Linked DNA regions of Lytechinus pictus. The protein of the gene in region 2 interacts with the protein of the main gene of each other region in a pairwise test. Links are inferred from orthologs where the notes say so. Each region holds a gene or a part of one and is shown on either strand. Other genes may lie near its edges.

The links. The genes of interacting proteins can lie anywhere in the genome.
Region 1: the proteins of prefoldin subunit 5-like (region 2) and prefoldin subunit 6-like interact in a two-hybrid assay, tested with the Caenorhabditis elegans proteins (2 studies listed by BioGRID). The link is inferred for Lytechinus pictus from reciprocal best matches to the Caenorhabditis elegans genes pfd-5 and pfd-6.

The regions. Positions count from the first base shown.
Region 1 is NC_087246.1:9,062,982-9,073,213, forward strand, and holds the start of prefoldin subunit 6-like, read left to right. Parts: upstream 1-5,925; 5' UTR 5,926-6,014; coding exon 6,015-6,081; intron 6,082-10,232. Other genes in the region: nuclear speckle splicing regulatory protein 1-like, read right to left, coding at 434-453. UniProt on the Caenorhabditis elegans protein: Binds specifically to cytosolic chaperonin (c-CPN) and transfers target proteins to it. Binds to nascent polypeptide chain and promotes folding in an environment in which there are many competing pathways for nonnative proteins.
Region 2 is NC_087247.1:32,560,602-32,570,850, reverse strand, and holds the start of prefoldin subunit 5-like, read left to right. Parts: upstream 1-5,346; 5' UTR 5,347-5,462; coding exon of another isoform or gene 5,463-5,521; 5' UTR 5,522-5,698; coding exon 5,699-5,779; exon of another isoform or gene 5,780-6,144; intron 6,145-7,696; coding exon 7,697-7,799; intron 7,800-8,950; coding exon 8,951-8,982; intron 8,983-9,487; coding exon 9,488-9,562; intron 9,563-10,249. Other genes in the region: uncharacterized protein LOC129257427, read right to left, coding at 2,151-2,387, 3,082-3,176, 3,587-3,772, 4,143-4,201, 5,463-5,521. UniProt on the Caenorhabditis elegans protein: Binds specifically to cytosolic chaperonin (c-CPN) and transfers target proteins to it. Binds to nascent polypeptide chain and promotes folding in an environment in which there are many competing pathways for nonnative proteins.

The DNA of each region.
Region 1 (10,232 bases), on a different chromosome or scaffold from region 2:
TCAAAATCCCCGAATCGTGTGCAAAGTAAATGCGTGCGCAGACATGGCTATCATTTTTTTTTCAATCTGAAAATGACTGCCCAAGGTTTTTTCAAGAAAATCCTATCCCCTAGGGGCCCTATATTTTCTTTCATTTTTGAATGAGAAATTTGGTACACTTAGGGCTTTAGGCCTACTCTTAATAATGTACTAAGGAACATCATTAATTGAAAAATTTTGTGAAATAAGAAGAAATTCATGTTAAATCTTAAGTCAAATTGTTTAGGTGCGCAGACTTGGGGCCCACCATCATGTTTGACATTACACGGCGGAGCTCCCTGGGCCAGGCGGCCCGGGTTACCTGACCCCAGGGCCCAGGACCCAGGTTAAGTCAGACTCAGACAGAATCTCACACTCAGCTCAGCACAGTCAGATCTATTTTTCAGAGACTTACTGTTTGCCAGGGAATGCCATTCTCTCCCTCCGAACTAGGTCTAGGTCCAGCTCAAATATTTAGCCCCGATTCCCGAAATTTGGCAGGTCAAAGAAATCGAGAGAGACGTCGACGGCGACGTAAGACTAACGTTAGTGCATTGACCGTACCGTTAGTGCATATTGACGTGCATTGGGCCGGCCTGGGCCATTTAGATCGACCAAAGACGTACGTACGCGCGCGCGCAGTTCGTCGCGACCGTACCGGCCTTTGAAAATCGCCAAGAGATGATTCTACCAAAAATAAGTCGCCTGATATATATTTTACCTTTACGCGACTAGTCTGCTGTGCAAACCCTTATACTCGTTTTATAAGGGTCTGATCGTGCAGCCTACTTAATAATGCTTTGAGTACTAAAGGCACAGAAACAGCATGTTTTGTATGCTCTATAGTCTTTGCGTGGAGACCCACTTGTTGATCAAAGTTTCAATCATGGTCTGTGCCCATAGGCGGCGGAAGCGGGGGGGGGGACGACCCCCCCCTAATTTTTTGTTGACAACTTTTTTTTTTGCTTGTCAATTTTGTTTCCTGCGTCCCCCCTAAATTTTTTTTGATAACCTTTTTTTTTTCTCTCTCTCTTTTGCTTGTCAATAAATTTTAGTGGTCCCCCTAGAATTTTTTGCTTCCACAGGCACAGGCCTGCTGACTATTCCGCGACTGTCACAAATTGCAAGGTGGTCGCGAATGGGAGGGAAGCAAGGGGCTTAACATTACTGAGGGTGTTTTTTCTCAATTTTGGACGCGGGCCGTGCGTGCACTCATTAAAGGTATCAAAAACACCGTTTTGAAAGACTGGTCAATCGCAGGGTCAAACGTATTTAGGTATGCTTTTTTCCAAAGCTTTTTTTAAGCCTGTATATATTGCCAAACGTGTTTAGGGTATGTTTTTCCCCAAGCTATTTCCCCGGGGTCATATTCTGGTGACAACTTGTTTAGAGGGTTATTTTGCACACAGAAAAAAAACTCGTTTAGGGGGTGTTTAGAATTAATTTGGCCACGCGTGTGTACAGCAATACATTTTGACTGCCCCTTCCCGGGGTCCGACAACTATACCCCAGATGGCTACCATTCGGACGACTCTGGATAACAAAAAGGCCCCCCCCCAATAAAAATATCCCGGTTTAGGACAACTACCCCCAGCAGGACAATTATTGCATGAGCTCTCCACTGCTCCAGGACAAGCAATTAGGCCCCGGGACAACTCCAAGTACCCTTCATGCAGGACCCTCTAGGATAACTAGAAAAATATCCCCATGGGATTTTTAAAAAAATCTGGGAACAAAATAATAATGATTAATAATAATGATATGCATTTGTATAGCGTCATCAGAAGCGGATCTAGAGGGGGGGTTGGGGGGTTGCAACCCCCCCCCCCCAAAAAAAAAAAAAAAAAATCCGGGGACCATTTTTTTTAATCTTATCTTTTTTTTTAACTTGTAATTTTATTTTATTCTATTTCTATGTATTTATTTCATTTATTATTATTATAAGACCTCTATACCAAAAAGAGTGGTGTTTTGGATGCAAGAAAACTATTTCGAAAATCTATTTCGAGGCGCATTGTTATTATTATTACCCCGGTCTTAATTAGCTCGAGCTGCCTTTCAGCGCTCGTGCATTTTTAATCCTGCCGGGTACCCATTCACCTCACCCGTTTCGATTTTCTTGCTGAAGGAAAACACGCCATCATGGCTAGGATTCGAACCTATACCACCCTCTAGCCGGGAAGATAGTCTTCGATGGACAGGTAATTAAATGGACTTAATGCAGTTCGAATAGGGAGCAGATCGATGCAGGAAGGCCTAATATTTTCTCACTCCCACTTTGAGTTCATCACGCTGAGTGTCAGACACAAGTCATGGCATGCAGCTATATAGCTATATGAAGTATTTATATGGTGTCTTCATCACCTTAATGACATAGCGACAAAAATGTGAGAAGTATAGCCTTCTTTATCAAAATGAGCCTGCACTATAAGGTTGGATGGTCGGATCGACTCACTCATGTTCCGTAAAATGCATCCGTACACTGCTACCCAACAAGGCAACGACAATATTATCACCTTCCTTTAAAGGACAAGTCCATCCCAACAAAATGCTGATTTGAATAGAAAGAGAAAAATCAAACAAGCATAACACTGAAAATTTCATCAAAATCGGATGTAAAATAAGAAAGTTATGACATTTTAAAGTTTCGCTTAATTTCACAAAACAGTTATATGCACACCCTGTTTGGTATGCAAATGAGGGAACCGATGACATCACCCACTCACTATTTCTTTTGTATTTTATTTTATGAAATATGAAATATTTTGATTTTCTCGTCACTTTCATGTGAAACAAGTTTAATTCTTCCCTGAACACATGGAATACCATTATTTTAACATTTTGTGGTTCAAGCAAGGGGGTCCTAATTGTCAAATTCGTAAAAATTGAAATATTGTATAATTCAAACAATAAAAAACAAAAGAAATAGTGAGTGAGTGACATCATCGACTCTCTCATTTGGAAGTAACTGGCTCGTTCATATAACTATTTTGTTAAAAATAAGCGAAACTTTAAAATGTCATAACTTTATTATTTTACATCCGATTTTGATGAAGTTTTCAGCATTATTCATGTTTGATTTTTCTCTTTCTATTCAAATCAGCTTTTTGTTGGGGTGGACTTGTCCTTTAACAAGAACTTTACGTGCAAAAAACTCATTTGTCTTTCCTGGCCTGCCTCCTGGAACTCTCTGCCTCAAGATTTCAAAGAATAAACGCAAACAGAAAAAATGTTAATTCTGCAATACTCGTTGCAAACAGGTCAAGCTGAATAACTAATTTAATTATACTCGACTTTTGTGTATATTCGTATTATATGCGTTCATATTATATACATAGTCATGTATATTATTTGTTTTATTATTCTTTTCTTCTTAAAGGGATGGTCCGGGCTGAAAATATTTATATCTTAATAAATATAGTAAAATTCACTGAGCAAAATGCCGAAAATGTCATCAAAATCGGATAACAAATAATAAAGTTTTTGAAGTTTAAAGCTTAGCAATATTTTGTGAAAACAGTCGTCATGAATATTCATTAGGTGGGCTGATGATGTCACATCTCCACTTTCTGTTTTCGTATGTTATTACATAAAATCATAATTTTTTTTTCATTATTTCATACTTGCATGTGTGAATAATATGTCTCCCTTATAATGAAATAAGTTGCAGCAATAAATATCTAATGCACTATATCAGTTGTCATTCCAATTTTTCTACTTCTTAGAGGAAAAAATTTGAATAAACCTCATTTCATATAATAAAATACAAAAGAACAAGTGGAGATGTGACATCATCAGCCCACCTAATGAATATTCATGACGACTGTTTTCCCCCAAATATTGCTAAACTTTAAAATTCAATAATTTTATTATTTGTTATCCGATTTTGATGAAATTTTTGGCATTTTGCTCAGTGAATTCTACTCTATTTATTAAGCTATAAATACTTTCAGCTCGGACCATCCCTTTAAAATTGCAATTCCTGCCAGCCTTATTTCTTCTTTCTTTCTACTTAGTGTATACTGCACTCCTCTGTCCCTCCTGTCTTCTCCCCCTCACCCCCCCCCCCCTCTCTCTTATAATATTGTAAAACATATAATATTTTCTCACACGATCCATCAGTTACGCTTTTGTCAAGTGCACAAAAATTGTTTGTATTTATTTTTAAACAAAATTTCTATATATTATTACGACCCAATATTTATTTGTTGTAATTTTGTAATGTAACTAAAATAGGGGCTTGCCACTTGTACAAGCTATGCTTTTTTCGGCAAGTCTCTACGTTTTACTTTTAAATACAAATGTCATTTGAGATAACTTTATTTATTGAATTGTGTTCCTTAAATCTATGATTATGTTATATATATATATTTTATGTCCTGTAGTATTTTCGACCTTGTTATGTTATGTTTATCATATTATGTACAATTGGGAAACGGAAATCAATAAATCAAATCAAATCAAACTACTTGATAACAACAGCTCTTCTTAGAAACTGCATGGGAGCTACTGGAGCTGGGGTATATAGTAGTGCACTAGACGCTGGTATAGATGTTCCTCCACAGCAAAAGAGTAGATTTTGACTGAATAGCAGCCCGTCAGGGGCGGATCCAGGATTTTTCAAAAAATGAGGGGGGCATATTTTCGCGAGGAAAAATTTGACAAGCACAAAAAGGAAAGATAAAAATGATTCTAACCAAAAATTAAGGGGATTTCGTCCACGAAAAAAAAATTGTCAAACCTGGATCCGCCAGTGCAGCCAGTACCTCAACCTTGTTCGTAACTGCCCTATTTGACTTCTTCTTCCTGCAGGTGATGTAGGAGATGGGTTTGAGCAGAAGAGGATGAAGGTCAGGGAGACAGTATACTTGAGGATGTGATGGTGGGGATGGTCTTGGCTACAGAATGTATAGAGTCCTATACTCAAATCTATTGTGGGGGAGATCCAATGCTTGATCCAATCAGGAGGAGCTTCTCAAGGTCAACTTGAGAACTAAGAGGAAGGAGCCCAGTGAGAAGAAAAGCAACCCCATCTGCTGTTGTTTTAGGGAGAGGGAGGCCAAGGATTTGCTTGAACAGCTGATGTTGTTCCTGCATGGTCTTTTCTCCATCTCTTTGGTAAGCTATACGGCTGCTCCATACGTATGATGCAACAGACCTTCTTCAGGGAAGCACGGTTGTTATCATAAAATTCAAAGGTGCGACATCACTCTTTTCATTATTATTCCATTTATTACCGTTATTCTTTTTTTTCATTCATCATTATGTTCCAACTTCCTTTCCTACTTTCTTTCTTGTTTTTCTTTCTCAGTATATCTCTTAATTTCTTTTTCCTTTTCCTCTTCTCCTTTCTTCTTCTACTTCTTCTTCTAATTATTCTTCTTTTTCTTCTCTCTTCTTTTTATTCTGTTATCCAGATGGAGATGATAATGATAACCATTATCATCATTTTCATAGCAATAATAATATCATTTTTGTATATGAAATTATTGTTGACCATGTTATTCATGAAATCCATCTTTTTATTTTCATCCTTATATTTCAAACTTGTTATAAAAATTACATCTAAATAAACTTTATCACATTTCATTAGATAGGATGAGATTACTTCCCCCTCCTCCTCCATCCCCCTCTCCCTCTCTCTCTCTCTCTCCACTGGGTCTCAACTTCTGTCTGGAAAGACCTTTCACAAATTTGGATTTTTGTAAATAATATGCTCATTACGCCACTGCACTGCTCATAGTCATACCTACACAGCATCGTAGATATAAAAGTATTATGCACTTGATTAAAAAAAAAAGTGATTATTATTGATTTCATTCAACACATCAATACAATATCTTAATTTTTTTTTAGTAACATATATTATATGTGGCGAAAAAAAAAGGCACGAAATCGTATTTGGACGAGTTTAATTACGGTACCGGTACTATATATACTATATACTTCGTGCGATATATTTGGCAAGCGCAAGGGGTTGACCGGTAAATTTCACTATGGCCAACGAAGCCCTCCAGAAAAAACTTCAAGAGGAGCTAGAGAAGTTCAAGGCATCAGAGAAGGGTGTGTATTATTGTCTCATATTAGGAACGAATTCCCATATTTCTCCGGACACTATTTAATGACAAAACATGCCCCACCACGGGCACGACACGGAGTTAGTTGCAGTAACCTCACGCCACGGTATCGCATGATCGCACAGACTTTCCGCGATCCATAGATGTAGCCGATGTAGGCCTAACACTGGGACTTGATTCCTGTGCAATTCGAATGAAGCAATCACAGAATTGTGATTTTTCCCGTCTGAAATAAGTGCGATGAAATTGCATGGATCGGTATATCAATGGCCACGTGTTTTCCCTGCCGGTAGCCTTTAAGTTAACTGCACTCTCCTTTTTTGTATTATTAGGGACAGGGTCTCTTCTACCTCGGGCGATGTTCGTGCAGGCTCCACTTCACTACCGTTACACTCCGCTCCACCTACCCGAACATCGGGACCGTGAACCATTTTCGGATATCCCGAGTCACAAAGGTGGGATGGCAATCATATTAATAATCGTAAAAATTAAACATAAAAAATATAACGAAAAAGATGATTGACTTAATAGTTAATATCTTACTCTACAGTACACCCGTATTTCACTCCGTTTCCATCCTCCGGTTATCATCAAAATTTGTGATTTTGGGCCACTATCAAATTCCTCACACGTATTATTCACGGCCGATTTCAAAATGCATATCGAGTGGACCTGATCCTAATATGATAGCATACGTGTGAGGAATTTGATACTGGCCCAAAATCACAAATTTTGAGGATAACAGGAGGATGGAAACGGAGTGAAATACGGGTGTAGAGTAAGATATTAAGTCAATCATCTTTTTTGTTATATTTTTTTATTTTAATTTTTACGATTATCATGATTGCCATCCCACCTTTGTGACTCGGTATATCCGAAATGGTTCACGGTCCCGATGTTCGGGTAGGTGGAGCGGAGTGTAGCGGTAGTGAAGTGGAGTGGAGCCTGCACGAACATCGCCCGAGGTAGGTCTCTTCTAGCCTTGAGGACTCCATGATGGTATTTTTTAATATTTTGACAAATACTTCTTCATGGAGCCTTGAACCGCCTGCCATATATGTATAACTATAAGAGACTCAACAAAACAGATGGATTTGCCTGGCCCTAGGTCCAGGAAATGTATCTTTTAAAATTTAAGATAAAAAATCACAAATGTTTGTGATTTTCTTTATTTCACACCTTCATACGCCTTAATTGGTTAATAAAAAGGTTAAAAATTGAAGGTTTCTTACCAGACCGATCTCGTGTAGATCCCTCTATCCGTTTGTCAACAAAGCAAATACAATAGGTCTGACCCGTGAACCGCTTCGTTATGATGTACCTTCGATTAGCAATGTTACAAAATGCCGTTTTGAAGAACAATTTATAGATAAAATTATTATTCAACAAATACTAAAATTTAATACGTGATTATCAATAATAATAATTATTATTTATAATCACGTATTAAATTTTAGTATAATTCTATGGAATTAAAAAAAATTTGGTGTGTACAATACAGTGTAGGTAGATGACACCAAAATACAGAATATGTTCTAATTCGGAGTCCGCAGGTCAAAGGTCACAGTTGGTTCAAAGGTCTAAATTTGTTCATTATATTATATATCCATGGTTTCTGCACGATATTAAGTTCAATTGTAATGAATGAATTTTTGATCACGTTAAGCGGGGGCATCTGTGTCCTTTGGACATGTCAAATTTCCAGTTCTTTCCTGCATTCCTTCATTTTTTCTTTCTTTTTTTCCTTCATCTTTTTTTTATCTTCTTTCTTTCCTTTGTTTTCTCATCTTTCTCCCATATTGTCCTTCATTCTCCTATTCATTCTTTCTTCGATCAGTTTCTTTCCTTCTTTCTTTTCTTTTCCTTTTTTCTTTCCTACTTTCATTCATTCTCTTTTTCTTTCTTTTCTTTTTCCCACTACTTTTTCCCCTACTTTCTTCTGTTCATTCTTCTTTTCTTTTTTTGCATTCCTTCATTCTTCTATTCATTCTTTCTGTTATTTTTTTTAATTTTCCTTTGTCTTTTTTTTTCTTTATTTTCTCTCCTCTTTCTTTCCTTTCTTTTTTCCCCTCATCTTACTCCCATACTTTCCTTCATTCTTCTATTTACTCTTCTTTAGTTTCTTTCCTTCTTTCTTTTATTTTCCTTTTTTTTGTACGTTCATTCTTTCATTTTTTTGTTGTTTTTCTTTCCTCTATCCTTTTTTTTATTATTTCTTCATTTATTTATTTCTCTCCTTCTTTCACATTCATTCAGTTGTCCTTTCCTTCTTTCCTTCCTTTTTCCTTCTTCCTGACTGAGACTCTACAAAAAAATGTTTTTGTTTTAATTTAGAAAACTCACTTTCATGCCTGCATTTAATAAGTATTATGTAAATAAGTGATAATGAATATTTCATGGGTGGCTGAAACTGAATGTCAGCAATGATCTAAATGTAGACTATTATGTTTGACTTTGCTTGAAATTTAAGTAGGTTAAAATCTTGAAACAGACAACCCATGAGCTCCAAAATAGCCATCGTAAAATACATTAAGGGTGGCTATTTTTCGGGGGGGGGGGGGGGGGGGTTCTAAAAATAGCCCTCTTAAAAAGAAAGTAATTTTTTGGTTGGTTATCACTGTTCTGTGAAAAGAAGCAACATATAAAATGTCATAATTTTCATATTAAATATATATTCTTTTGATAAAATTGTCGACGTTACAGTGCAAGTCCAAGAACTTGCACATGTTATGTACATGTATGGCGTACATGTACAGACATTTCAGAGGATGTAATGACCTCAAAAATAAAAAGGACTTTGATTATATTGAATACCCTATGATTGTTGATATCTAAGAGAAGAATGATCGTGTAAAAAATGGTGACACATGGCCTTTACCTTTTAGAGAGACAATGTGCCGTTACGTATGGAATGCAGAAAAAAGACAATTTTTAAAACATTTTTTTCAAGTTCAGAATTTGCTAAAAGTATTTCATTTTACAACTTGTAACTCAGTGTGATAAAGGTCACAACACTCGAGTACTGTATATCATTAGGCAAGTTTCATGTCATAATTCAAAACCCTCTAATTACAGACTTTAATTAATCAAATTAATCACATATTATGTATGGGACATTTAGTCCCCATAGAGGATGTACACAATTTTCTCCATATTCAAATAATTTCAAATATGGAAATAATAAATGATTTTTTTTCTTTTAAAATGTTCTATTAAGTTATATTCACTTTTTACACAAATTTCCCCATTGACATTGACTTGTGTACAATTGTCCCCTACATAACATGTCCCATATGTAACTTCTAATTAATTTTTTTTAGATATTATTGAAACTTGTTGTGGTATAATATATTCTTACTCAATAAATTAGAACTCCCTAGAGATGTAACAATACATGAACTGTATTCTGAGAAATATATTTTTAAAAGTCCTTAAAATGTTACGTAGGGACATTCCATCATGTGACAAGACTGATCTAATTTGCATATTAAATTAAGTAAGTTCTTTCCCCAAAAAGTAATAAGATGTTGAGAGTCCATGTCCCACCTATGATTAAATCTCAGAAGTTTTGATTTTCTTTGAGTTTTTATAATTGTCCCATACATAATGCCCATTTTACCAATTATGCATTTAGGAGCTCCAAATTAGCATAAATTTTCATAACATAAAATTATTTTTGATGAAATTTAGCCGAGGCTTTCTTATTCTACCAAAGATATCTTCTTAAAGGAAAATGAAACTCTTGGAGCAAGTTAGCCTTTGTGAAAGCAGAAAAATAAAAAAATAAGATCAACAAAAGTTTGAGTAAAATAGGACTAGCAATAGAAGAGTTATGAGCATTTGAATGTCGAGATCACTAAAGCTATGGAGATCCTCCCATTGGCAATGTGACCAAGATCTATGATGTCACAGATGAACAACTCTCCCCTTTTGGACACTGAAAATATCCCCCCAAACATCTCTTTTTGCTCATTCTAATCATATGACAAACGATTCATCAATGATATAATGTTGTGAAATCTCTGTACTTGTCCTCTCATAAAGAGAACACCTCACCTCGGTGATAGACTCTATAAAAGTGAGAATATAAGTGAAATAAGTACTAAAGTAATGAGGGAGTTGTACGTGTGTGACATC
Region 2 (10,249 bases):
GGGAAAGTAGATGTAGCGGGTGTAGACCGACTGGCAATTTACCCATTTTCCCAGTTAATTTGTACTAGAAACCAGGCTCTTGGTATTGAATTTGGTATTGACTTTAATTTTTAATTCAATTTCAGAGTAAATTATAATGACTTATGTTGACTAAATTTCTAGTCTACTTACAATAACAATCATGTTCTCAAAGACTTTTAAGCCAGAGTAAAACAAAAGCAAAAACATGCACAAGACTTTTCTCCTATGAATTTTTTTAATGGGATTTCGAGCAACATAATTTGAATGGTGTAGCATCTGGTAAATCACATCACGTAATCGATTAGAGATATCATGAAACATGGTTCAACAGATAGATCACAAATTATTCACAAGAATGTTTAATAGCCATGAATGGTAATCAACAACTCGAATGAGTTCAGTAGAATTCTACAAAATAGTTACATGTTGTGATTTGTCCATCACTTTTCATGGAAATTAAATATTGATGCTTGTAAACTCTGCTTAGAGACCTAGGGAGTTTTTTCCATGAAACAAATAGTCATATTCACCAACAAATTTGCTTTGAACCAATCAAATGCAAGGATTTTGCTAGCTTATAACAATAGTGGGTGAAAATCACTGTTCCATGGAATCTCCCAAGTTGACCCACATTTCACCCTCGGCTTGACACTGGCAAAGAATCTTAAAACTTTTGATATTTAAGGAGTGCTTTACAAAGATTTAAGTCTGACTGAAAAATGCAGTCCCAGTTATGTGTTGTATACTGGTATATCGCATCACCGCATTGATCAGTTCACATTTAAGTAGGAATATTAGTCAAACATAAATCTATGTGAAACACCCCCAGAAGGTAAACACACTTTGTTACACATGAACTGGAATCCCAATATATGTATTTTGTATCAAGCTTCAAGTAATGTATGATAGCAAGATTTGAATTTCACCAGCCCTACTATCACGATCAGTTATTACAATGTCCACCATGATCAATAAATATCAAACAATGATCACATTCAATATTTTCTGCAGCTTTGGCCGAGATAAACACATCATGGGGTAGATCCAGACGGCTGAGACACAATAGATTTTGAGGGGCTGACTATTCTTTACAAAAAATACTACTCCTGTAATGGTGTTGTGTCCTACCCCGCTTGGCCTGCCACTGGACAATGATGAATTGGAAGAGAGACTCAGAAGGAGTTTTTTTAGGATTGACCACTGAATGTGACCCTTCCCCTTTGACCCTGGAGAGTTAGATTGAAGCCAACACCCCTTATGATTGGTCAACAATCCAAATTTGGAATTAAACATATCAATTGATGAGAAGATAAAAATACGGAGCAAACTCCTGTCCAAAGTTCTGAATGGTCGTATTAAAACTTAATTGATGATTTTTAATATTTTATTCCTCTTCACATGTATTAAAGCAAATTCATTTTAGAACATAAAAATAATTGAACCATTCACTACGCTTAAAAAAAAAATCCATCCCAATTTTTATTTTTTTAAATAGACATGAAATGAAATACTCTGAAAATTTGCTTTGCCCAATTAATCATGAGCCCGGCAGCTGCTGTGCAGCCATATCGATGAGGCTCTATCCCTTTAATCATTAAACGGCAAACAGGGTAGCAGCACATACTTAAACATCTTTTGGTCTGACGCGACCGGGATTTAAATTCCCGACCTCCTGGTTGTGAGACAGACGCTCTACCAACTGAGCCAACACACTGGTTTCCCGCATATTCGGCCATCACTGTATATTAACTGCTTGCCATTAATTCTGATGTTGACATTAGTATTCTAATAGTTATTTTCCTGAAAGAATCATTTGATTTTTAAATCTCTAAAAAATTTGCACAATATGGTTTCATCTAGAAATGGGTCAGAGCCTTTTTTTATAATGTCTTTGTTCTACGCCATGTTGCTTTACTTCAATTTTATGTCTGAAACATTAATATTCCCCATTCTTTAAAATATTTCCTGAAGCAATAGCCAATATTGGCTATTCATTGAAGTTTCAATGTGCAGATAATTCCAATATCATTTTCATGACCATGCAGCTTAAGCCATGACAGCTCAGGTCGTAACTCCACAATGATTCTTCCAAATAGAGTCTATTGTCCATGACGACACCGTTTCAAAGGTCACCTCTTGCCTTTATTGAACTTCTGTTTCTTGTTACCAGGGTGTGGTTTGGACGATGGTATGCACATAGCGCCACCTGCAGCGTCTCCTTCCTTGAGTCCACGAAAACGAGCCATCTCCTCGTTCTTACGCTTCAGGTTTTCCTTCCTGAAGAGACTGGTACCACGTCCTGGAGAGGTGATCTCAACGTTGATGGGTCTCCCGTGAAGTTTACTCAAATGCATTGCTAACGCACTCTGAAAAGCAGACAAAAAAATTTATGTAGCATACCAATGTGACAATATTTTTTTCAGATCATATCAAGGTTAATTCATCTTTGGATAGTTTTGTATCTCCCAGAATAAACAACCTGAAACCAATGAAAATTGGGAAATGCAAACAGAGATTTAACGTAATATATTCTCGCCAGACCACTTCAAAAGAATAAATGGAATATTAAAAGAACGTTGATACTGTGTTTCATAAACTCTGATACTGGTAACAACAGAAAATAAAGTGTTCACAGAATTTGAACAAAACTTAAACAGAATTATACAAAAATAAACAAATGATATCTGCCGAACATTTTTTCAGGAAAACATATAATTACAGAGTAATGAGCAAAGGAAGATCACAAAAATATTGAAAAATGCTGTTTATATACAGTGTGGTCTCAAATGTTGTTTCCTGTGTTAGCTACACCATGAAACGCATGTGGTAATGAATTCATTTCAAGCAAGCTAGAATTGTTAAAAATGTTGTTGTAAATAAGCATTCTGGCATACGATAAACACTTAAGGATTGTTTCCAACCATTTTCCATCAATAATTCTAAACCAGAACTCGAACTGAGCTTTAAATGAATTGAATGACATAAAACATGTCGTGAAATAATGTACCCCACAGTAGAACTGATATTCATTGTTATCAAGGGAATAGATATTCAACTCACCATGTATGATTTGTTGTTTTTAAATTCAATGTAGCCAAATCCTCTAGATTTACCAGTGTCTTTGTGTGTTGCTAACCTCACAGACTTCAATTCACCTGCCGTGTGAAAATGACAAATATGAAACATTATTTAAGCCAGCCATGTAATCCAAATTCTATATTGCTATGATTTTGAATATCCTCCTTTACTAAAAATTCAATTATTACATCATTCAGACATTACTTCAATGGGACACACTACAAGAACTCAAAAAAATATCTAACTAACTACCCCCCCCCCCCCCTCCAAACCCTTCAATTGAGCTTTTCAGGCAATGTCCAATCTTTTTCCTTTTAAGTGCACATGCTGGTATTACTAACACATTGCATTATCATTTATTTGATGCAAGATAAAACAGCATTAGAGATAACATGTCTTTTTTGCGGCCGTGCCGGGAATCATACTCCGGACTGCAATGGTGTAGTCAGGCACCTTAGACGACTCCGCTACAACGATGCTTTCTTACCAGCTTTAGAGAAGTGTTTGGTTATATCCTCTGTTGTAGCACTGTATGGAATCTGACCAACAAAGAGCACATAAAACTTCTTGGTTGAGGTTTTTCCTGAGGTCTTTCCTGACTTCTTCCCCTGGGTTTCCAGGGCATCCACACTCTCTGTTTTTACTGGAGGCTTCACAGCTGCTGAACTTGATCCTAAGGGTGAAATACATTATTTCAAATTAATTAATTACACTATAAACTGACAAATATTGGATAAAATGTTATAAAAACCTGATGGCATGGTAAAATCATAATTCGGTATTTCCTATTAATGCAAACAAAACATTAAGCAGACAAATCATATAAAATTTTCATAAGTTCACCAGTTTTAGGGCTCAAAATACTGGTACCTGCCAAAAGAAAAATATAACTGGCTTCACTTTCAAATTTTTTTAAAGACCAGTCTCTGCTCAAGTTTCCATTTTACTTACGTATACATTTCTTCATCAGTATGGGAAGGGGTGGGGGGGGGGTATTAAAATAAGGGTATTGAATTAATATGAATCATCAAATTATGACTTGCCTGTGGAATCACCTTGTTTATCTTGTTCATTCTGCTGTGGCTGATGCTCACTCCACCATCTTCAATTTAAAAAAAGTATTTTTATTTAGGAAACTTTACAAAATCAATTCAGTTAAATCACACAATGAACTGTAATCTGTATAGATGTATTAAAAAAGGGTAGGCCTAATAGTTAACTGACTTGAATTTTACAAAAAATATCTACCAAAACAAAAGTGTTGACTAGCTTCAGGAGTCGGAATGGCCAATGCTAATGCAGTTTCGCACCGGCTGACTTCACAAGGATTTCCCAATCAGATTGTTCGCACATGTCATAGCAAGTCTCTCAATCACATTTCAAGGTCAATAAACCCACCACTTTTCTGATTATCGTGATCGGGAACAGCTGTATTTCGGCTTCGATCTCGACGTCAAATTCTCAGTCAAGACATCGCTTCGCTTGGAGTGGGATTCCCCTATTATATTTATATGGTCTGAAGTTAGTGACCAAAATTATGCCATTATGCTGTGAACAAACAGGTGAGCGGCCGCAGGCTGATCTTCTGGACGCTAATTTCATTCCATAAAAAAACTACCGTGAAACCAATTCAAGCAAAGTGATGTCTGAATGAGAATTTGACAATGACCTCGTCGAGATCTAACCGAAATACAGACGTTCCCGATCGCGATATTCTTAAAAGCGCTAGGTACATTAGGTGTGATTGAGAGACTTGCTAATTTGCAAATTATTAGATCTGACTTTTAATGTTAACTTAATATGGTGGGGAAATTCTCTCAAAGTCGGCTGGTGCAAAACTGTCTACGACTACGGCCAGGATTATTACCTTTATTACTGGATCTACTGGAAAAATGCAATTACTTATGCAGTCGTGTTTCCAGGTCTTGATACAACCTGTAATACCATATGACTCAAGTTTATTCATGAGCCGCTGGTGAGGCACGGAGTCAAAAGCTTATATAGTGCGACATGACATTTCATTATTTCTTGAAGTTGAAAACTTGAGGAAGAATGGAAAAACGTTACACTAACATTACAACAACTAAAATATTCCCATTTTTAAACATATTAATAATGCTTTTTGAATATACGTAAACTATGCAATGCAGGAAACACCATCAACATTGCCATTGCATTGGCATTGCTTGCATTATGTTAAATTAAATTACAATTTTTACATGTCCTTACTTACACAAAATTCAATATGTGGTGCCTGGATTATTTTTTGGAAAAATCATGATCGGTGATGATGCTGTGTCAAAATGCCTTGACTTGATGATGACTGAGGCTTGGAAAAATACTTAAAATATGTTGTTACTTACTGCATTCTACGCTCCTTTCTGGACTTCACAGTTTCGGATTTAGCACTGTTTTCTGCCATATTTGTGCGTTTAGTTTGTCCGGCTTTCGTAGTTAGACATCTCTCACGACTCGTGCGCGGATTGCAACTTTGAAGTTGAGTTGGGAGTGTAGTCACAGTTTCACTTTCAGTTTCAGTCACTTTGGTACTGACTTAGTGTTACAGTTTTTTTTACGAGTTGCGATCAAAGAAGTAACCATGTCTGAAGGAGGACAGCAAGTGGACCTAATGCAGCTTCCGATTCCACAGCTAAATGGTCTTAAAGAACAGTTAGATCAGGTAAACTTTCAATTTTTTTTTACTGACTTGAACAAGCACTTACTCGCAAAAAGGCCAATGCGATAACTGACGCATGCAATTCTAATACACACATATTCAATAGGGATATTCACAATTTTGTGATAGATTAATTGGAATTATACAGGAGTTAAATCACCGTTGATGACACATTGATTGTGCGTGGTTTGCTATGAATATGACTGAGTGGTGAAAGCATTTGTTGGGGGGGGGGAGAATATTTGAACAGCTTAAAACTAAATGAACTAATGTCTGATAAACATGAATTTATTGGTCAAATCATGCTTTCGGTAACTATTCATAGCTCGCCGGGGCCCTGTGTCCTGTGGCTGTGACACTGTGTGTGTGCTGGGCTCTTCCCGGTGGCGGTGCCTCAATGCCCTTGATCCTATTAATTTACGCATTGCTATTGTGAAATCCTTTCCTTATTTGTGCTTACCATACATACCCTTTGACCAAAACTTGTGGGCATATTTATTTTGCCACCACAATGGAATTGGGTGCCCTCATCGCAGAGATTAAAGTCTAATTGACTGTCTTAAAGATCATCGTCGAAAAGGGGGGATCCACACTGAATTAAATCATTTGATTTTACCAGTTTGAAGTAATCTTGTAACAGGTATATACAGTGCGTCTGAAATTTTTGAAATGGCTGCCACATAAAAATATATCACTTTGGGGGAAAAGTTTTATAGAGCTCTAGATGGAAAGCAAATAATGTCAACTTTCAAATGACACCAAAAAGTAGCAAATCTATTCATGCTTGAGTGACCAATGCCCACTTAAATAAAGGGCAAGAAAATTAGGCTTGGCTGGAATTAGCCTTCCAATTTCTTCTTCTTCCGTTTATTACAGTCCTCTTTACAGAGTATAGTCGTACTTGACTGAGGCCAGTTATTGGTCACCCAAGGGTTCATTACATGTCACCGCGCACAGAAAAATCAAGCCATAGAAGTCGTGTGTTGTGGACCCAAGAAGTGAGATCCCAGCACGCGCGACCCACTAGTTAGAAATCCACTGCCAAACGCGGTTCGTGGTGCGAGGTTAGTATACTAATACTAACCTCGCAATACGTGTGAGTGGTTATTGGTAGGCGATTCCTTTGGAACTCGCAAAGTTGAGGGTGTTGTGGTAAATTAATGATCAATCATGATCAGTTTTGGTTGTTTGAGTAAATTTCATGAATTATTAAATTGAAATTAATGCATGAGTGAACATGAATTGCATTTTTAGTGCTCCATTTTAACCGTCATGTTGACATCAGCAGTGTGTAATTTTTTGAGATGCTCTGTAGAGCAAGGCCACATTTTATAGAAGATGTTTCAGAGGAGAAAGGGCCAATGAGAGGGTCATCATAGCCAGTCAACAGGGTATCAACGTGATCCCTGACCATGACAGTTGATGGCCCTGGATTGGTTTTTAAAAGCACTGTTGTCATTCCAGGGGGGGAAAGGTGTCTTACAAGACTTAAGCTTGACTTGCTTAGTGTCGAGGAACAATTGATATTTTACACTCAATCTCCTTGATTAATGTGCAGTAGTGCAATTCCTCTGAGCAGATTTGTCTAACAATGTGTTTTATACAGCATTCAACTATGAATTTGAGTGTGACTTCTAGTCACACTCAAATATTTGTGAAACACCCACTGGGCCTCATTTCATAAAAAAGTGGCTTATGATAGCAACTCGTGCTGGAATATCACCTTTCATTGGAAGAGTCAATCAAAAAGCAAAACTTTCAATGTTGTCATGGTAGTTGACATTCCAGCAAGACTTTTTATCATAGCAACTTTTATGAAATGGTGCACTCACTGCACTGCAATTGGTAAGATTCAATTCATGACTTGGCACCCTTAAAGAGAAAAAGAGAAATTTATATTTGTCTCTCTTTCTATTGCAGGAGGTGGAGATGATGCAGGGTTCCTTGCAGCAGCTCAAGATGGCCCAGTCTCGGTTTATGGAATCATCAGAAAGCATAGGCAAATTAAATTCTGATAATGAAGGTGAGCTGAAAATAGAAATAATAATAATAATAGTACAGTTCTTAATAGACGCATAACACCTACAGTTCTCTGCGTGTGAGGAAAGCAGGAAATATGGTTAGAATTGTAGATTTAAAATCAAATATCAAATAATAATAATTAATAATAATAATAATCCGCTTTTATATGGCGCTTAATCGGAACGACGTGTCTACCCCGGTCATCGGATTCAATCAGTCATTCCTGCACACAATGTGTGCACATCCTCCACTTTCTATATTATAAACATCAAAGAATATTAAAACATAGATTGAACCTAACTTAGTTAAACATTCTGAAAGAGTTGGGTCTTTAATTGTACTTTGAATTGCTCAAGCTGGGTAATATTTTGTAAAGCCATCGGTAGAGAATTCCATTGTGCTGAAATCTGTCAAAGATCATGTGGGGTTATTTATTTATGCCTCCGCCCATTTTGGGCTGTGCTGGAGGTGTTTTGTTTTCGGGTTGTCCGTCTATCCAAATTTTACTTTCGCGATAACCAAAAGAAAACCATTGGATGGATCAACCTGAAACTTGGCTCATGGATGTGTAGGAGCCTGGTGATCCAGAAGTGTACGCAGGGGGTGGTTACAAGGGTTCAACCCCCCTTGATTTTTTTTGATACCCGAAACCCCCCTCCTAAGAATTCAACCTCCCCCCTAAAATTTTATTATTTTTTTTGCTTGTCCAATTTTTTTGAGGTACGAAAGGACCTGAAATTGGTGGTGAAGACCCCCTTTTTTTTTGGGGGGGTGTCAACATTTCATTCAGCTTGAACCCCCCCCCCCCTTAAAAAATCCTGTGTATGCTACTGTGGTGATCTGATTAGATTTGGGGGTATAAAGGTAAAAAAAGATAGAAATGAAAAATATTTCTTGAATCTCACATCCTAAATCTTCATTAGAAGAAATCATCATATTGCCTATTCAGAGTGTAATGATTACTCTACCTGCTCTGGAAATGTAGCCAGTTTTCTCTTTCTCATTACATGTATATTCTATGTGATTGCTAGCATTCATTATGTGTATGAAAATAAACTGAATAGGTTAATGTACACATCTATGGACTAAACAAGTAGATGTGTATATAACTGGATAAATTCTAAATTTTGATTGATATCTTCTATTCTACAGGAAAAGAGATGCTGGTTCCACTAACATCATCTGTATCCTTTATCTTATCAATCTTTTTTTTGTGTGTGAGTAATTTTTTAGTCTAGGTATAGGACTATTTAGTGAAGAGTTAAATCATACTTTTGAATAATGCATGCTCAATTTGATTTGAGAATCAAAGTTATGTACAATGTGCTCTTTGGGGGCAGGGCTATCAGTCAGGAATATATTCACTATATTTTGCAAGGTATACAAATCTTTTGAATAAAGAGTAGAAGTCAAAACTCTTTTTCAAATTGAAAATAGTTATTTCTAAAAGTGAGAGGGTTGTGATTATTTATAGAGATGTGCTCCTATTCTGCCAACAACAAAAAAAAAAGAGTCCATGCAGATGAAAGACGTTTTTTTTTCTTCCAATAGCTCAACTGTTATTTTCATCATCATACAACCTTCCACCCACCCCTATATGATAATTTGGATATTGTATTATTGTTTTCTCTGTCATTTCACATTCTTTTGGTTTTGTGAAAATTATTCCTTGACTCTAAACTTACACAGCTCTATGTACCAGGCAAATTGCAAGATGTCAATAATGTATTAATAGATATAGGGACTGGCTACTATGTAGAAAAGGTAAGTTTTCGAGAAGCAGATATAGATTTATCACATGTATATTATTACTGAAGAGGTTTTTGTCTCACCTGCATCTATAGCAGAGTGAGACTATAGGCGCCGCTTTTCCGACGGCGGCGGCGGCGTCAACACCAAATCTTAACCTAAGGTTAAGTTTTTTAAATGTCATCATAACTTAGAAAATATATTAACCTAGTTCATGAAACTTGGACATAAGGTTAATCAAGTATTACTGAACATCCTGCCTTAGTTTCACATCACATGACCAAGGTCAAAGGTCATTTTATAGGGTCAATGAACTTGGGCCAAATTGGGGGTATCTGTTGAATTACCATCATAACTTTGAAAGTTTATGGATCTGATTCATGAAACTTGGACATAAGAGTAATCTAGTATCGCTGAACGTCCTGTGCAAGTTTCAGGTCACATGATTAAGGTCAAAGGTCATTTAAGGTCAATGAACTTTGGCCAAGTTGGGGGTATTTGTTGAATTACCATCATAACTTTGAAAGTTTATTGGTCTAGTGCATAAAACTTGGACATAAGAGTAATCAAGTATCACTGAACATCCTGTGCGCATTTCAGGTCACATGACCAAGGTCAAAGGTCAATGAACTTTGGCCATAATGGGGTATCTGTTGAATTACCATCATAACTTTGAAAGTTTATGGATCTGATTCATGAAAC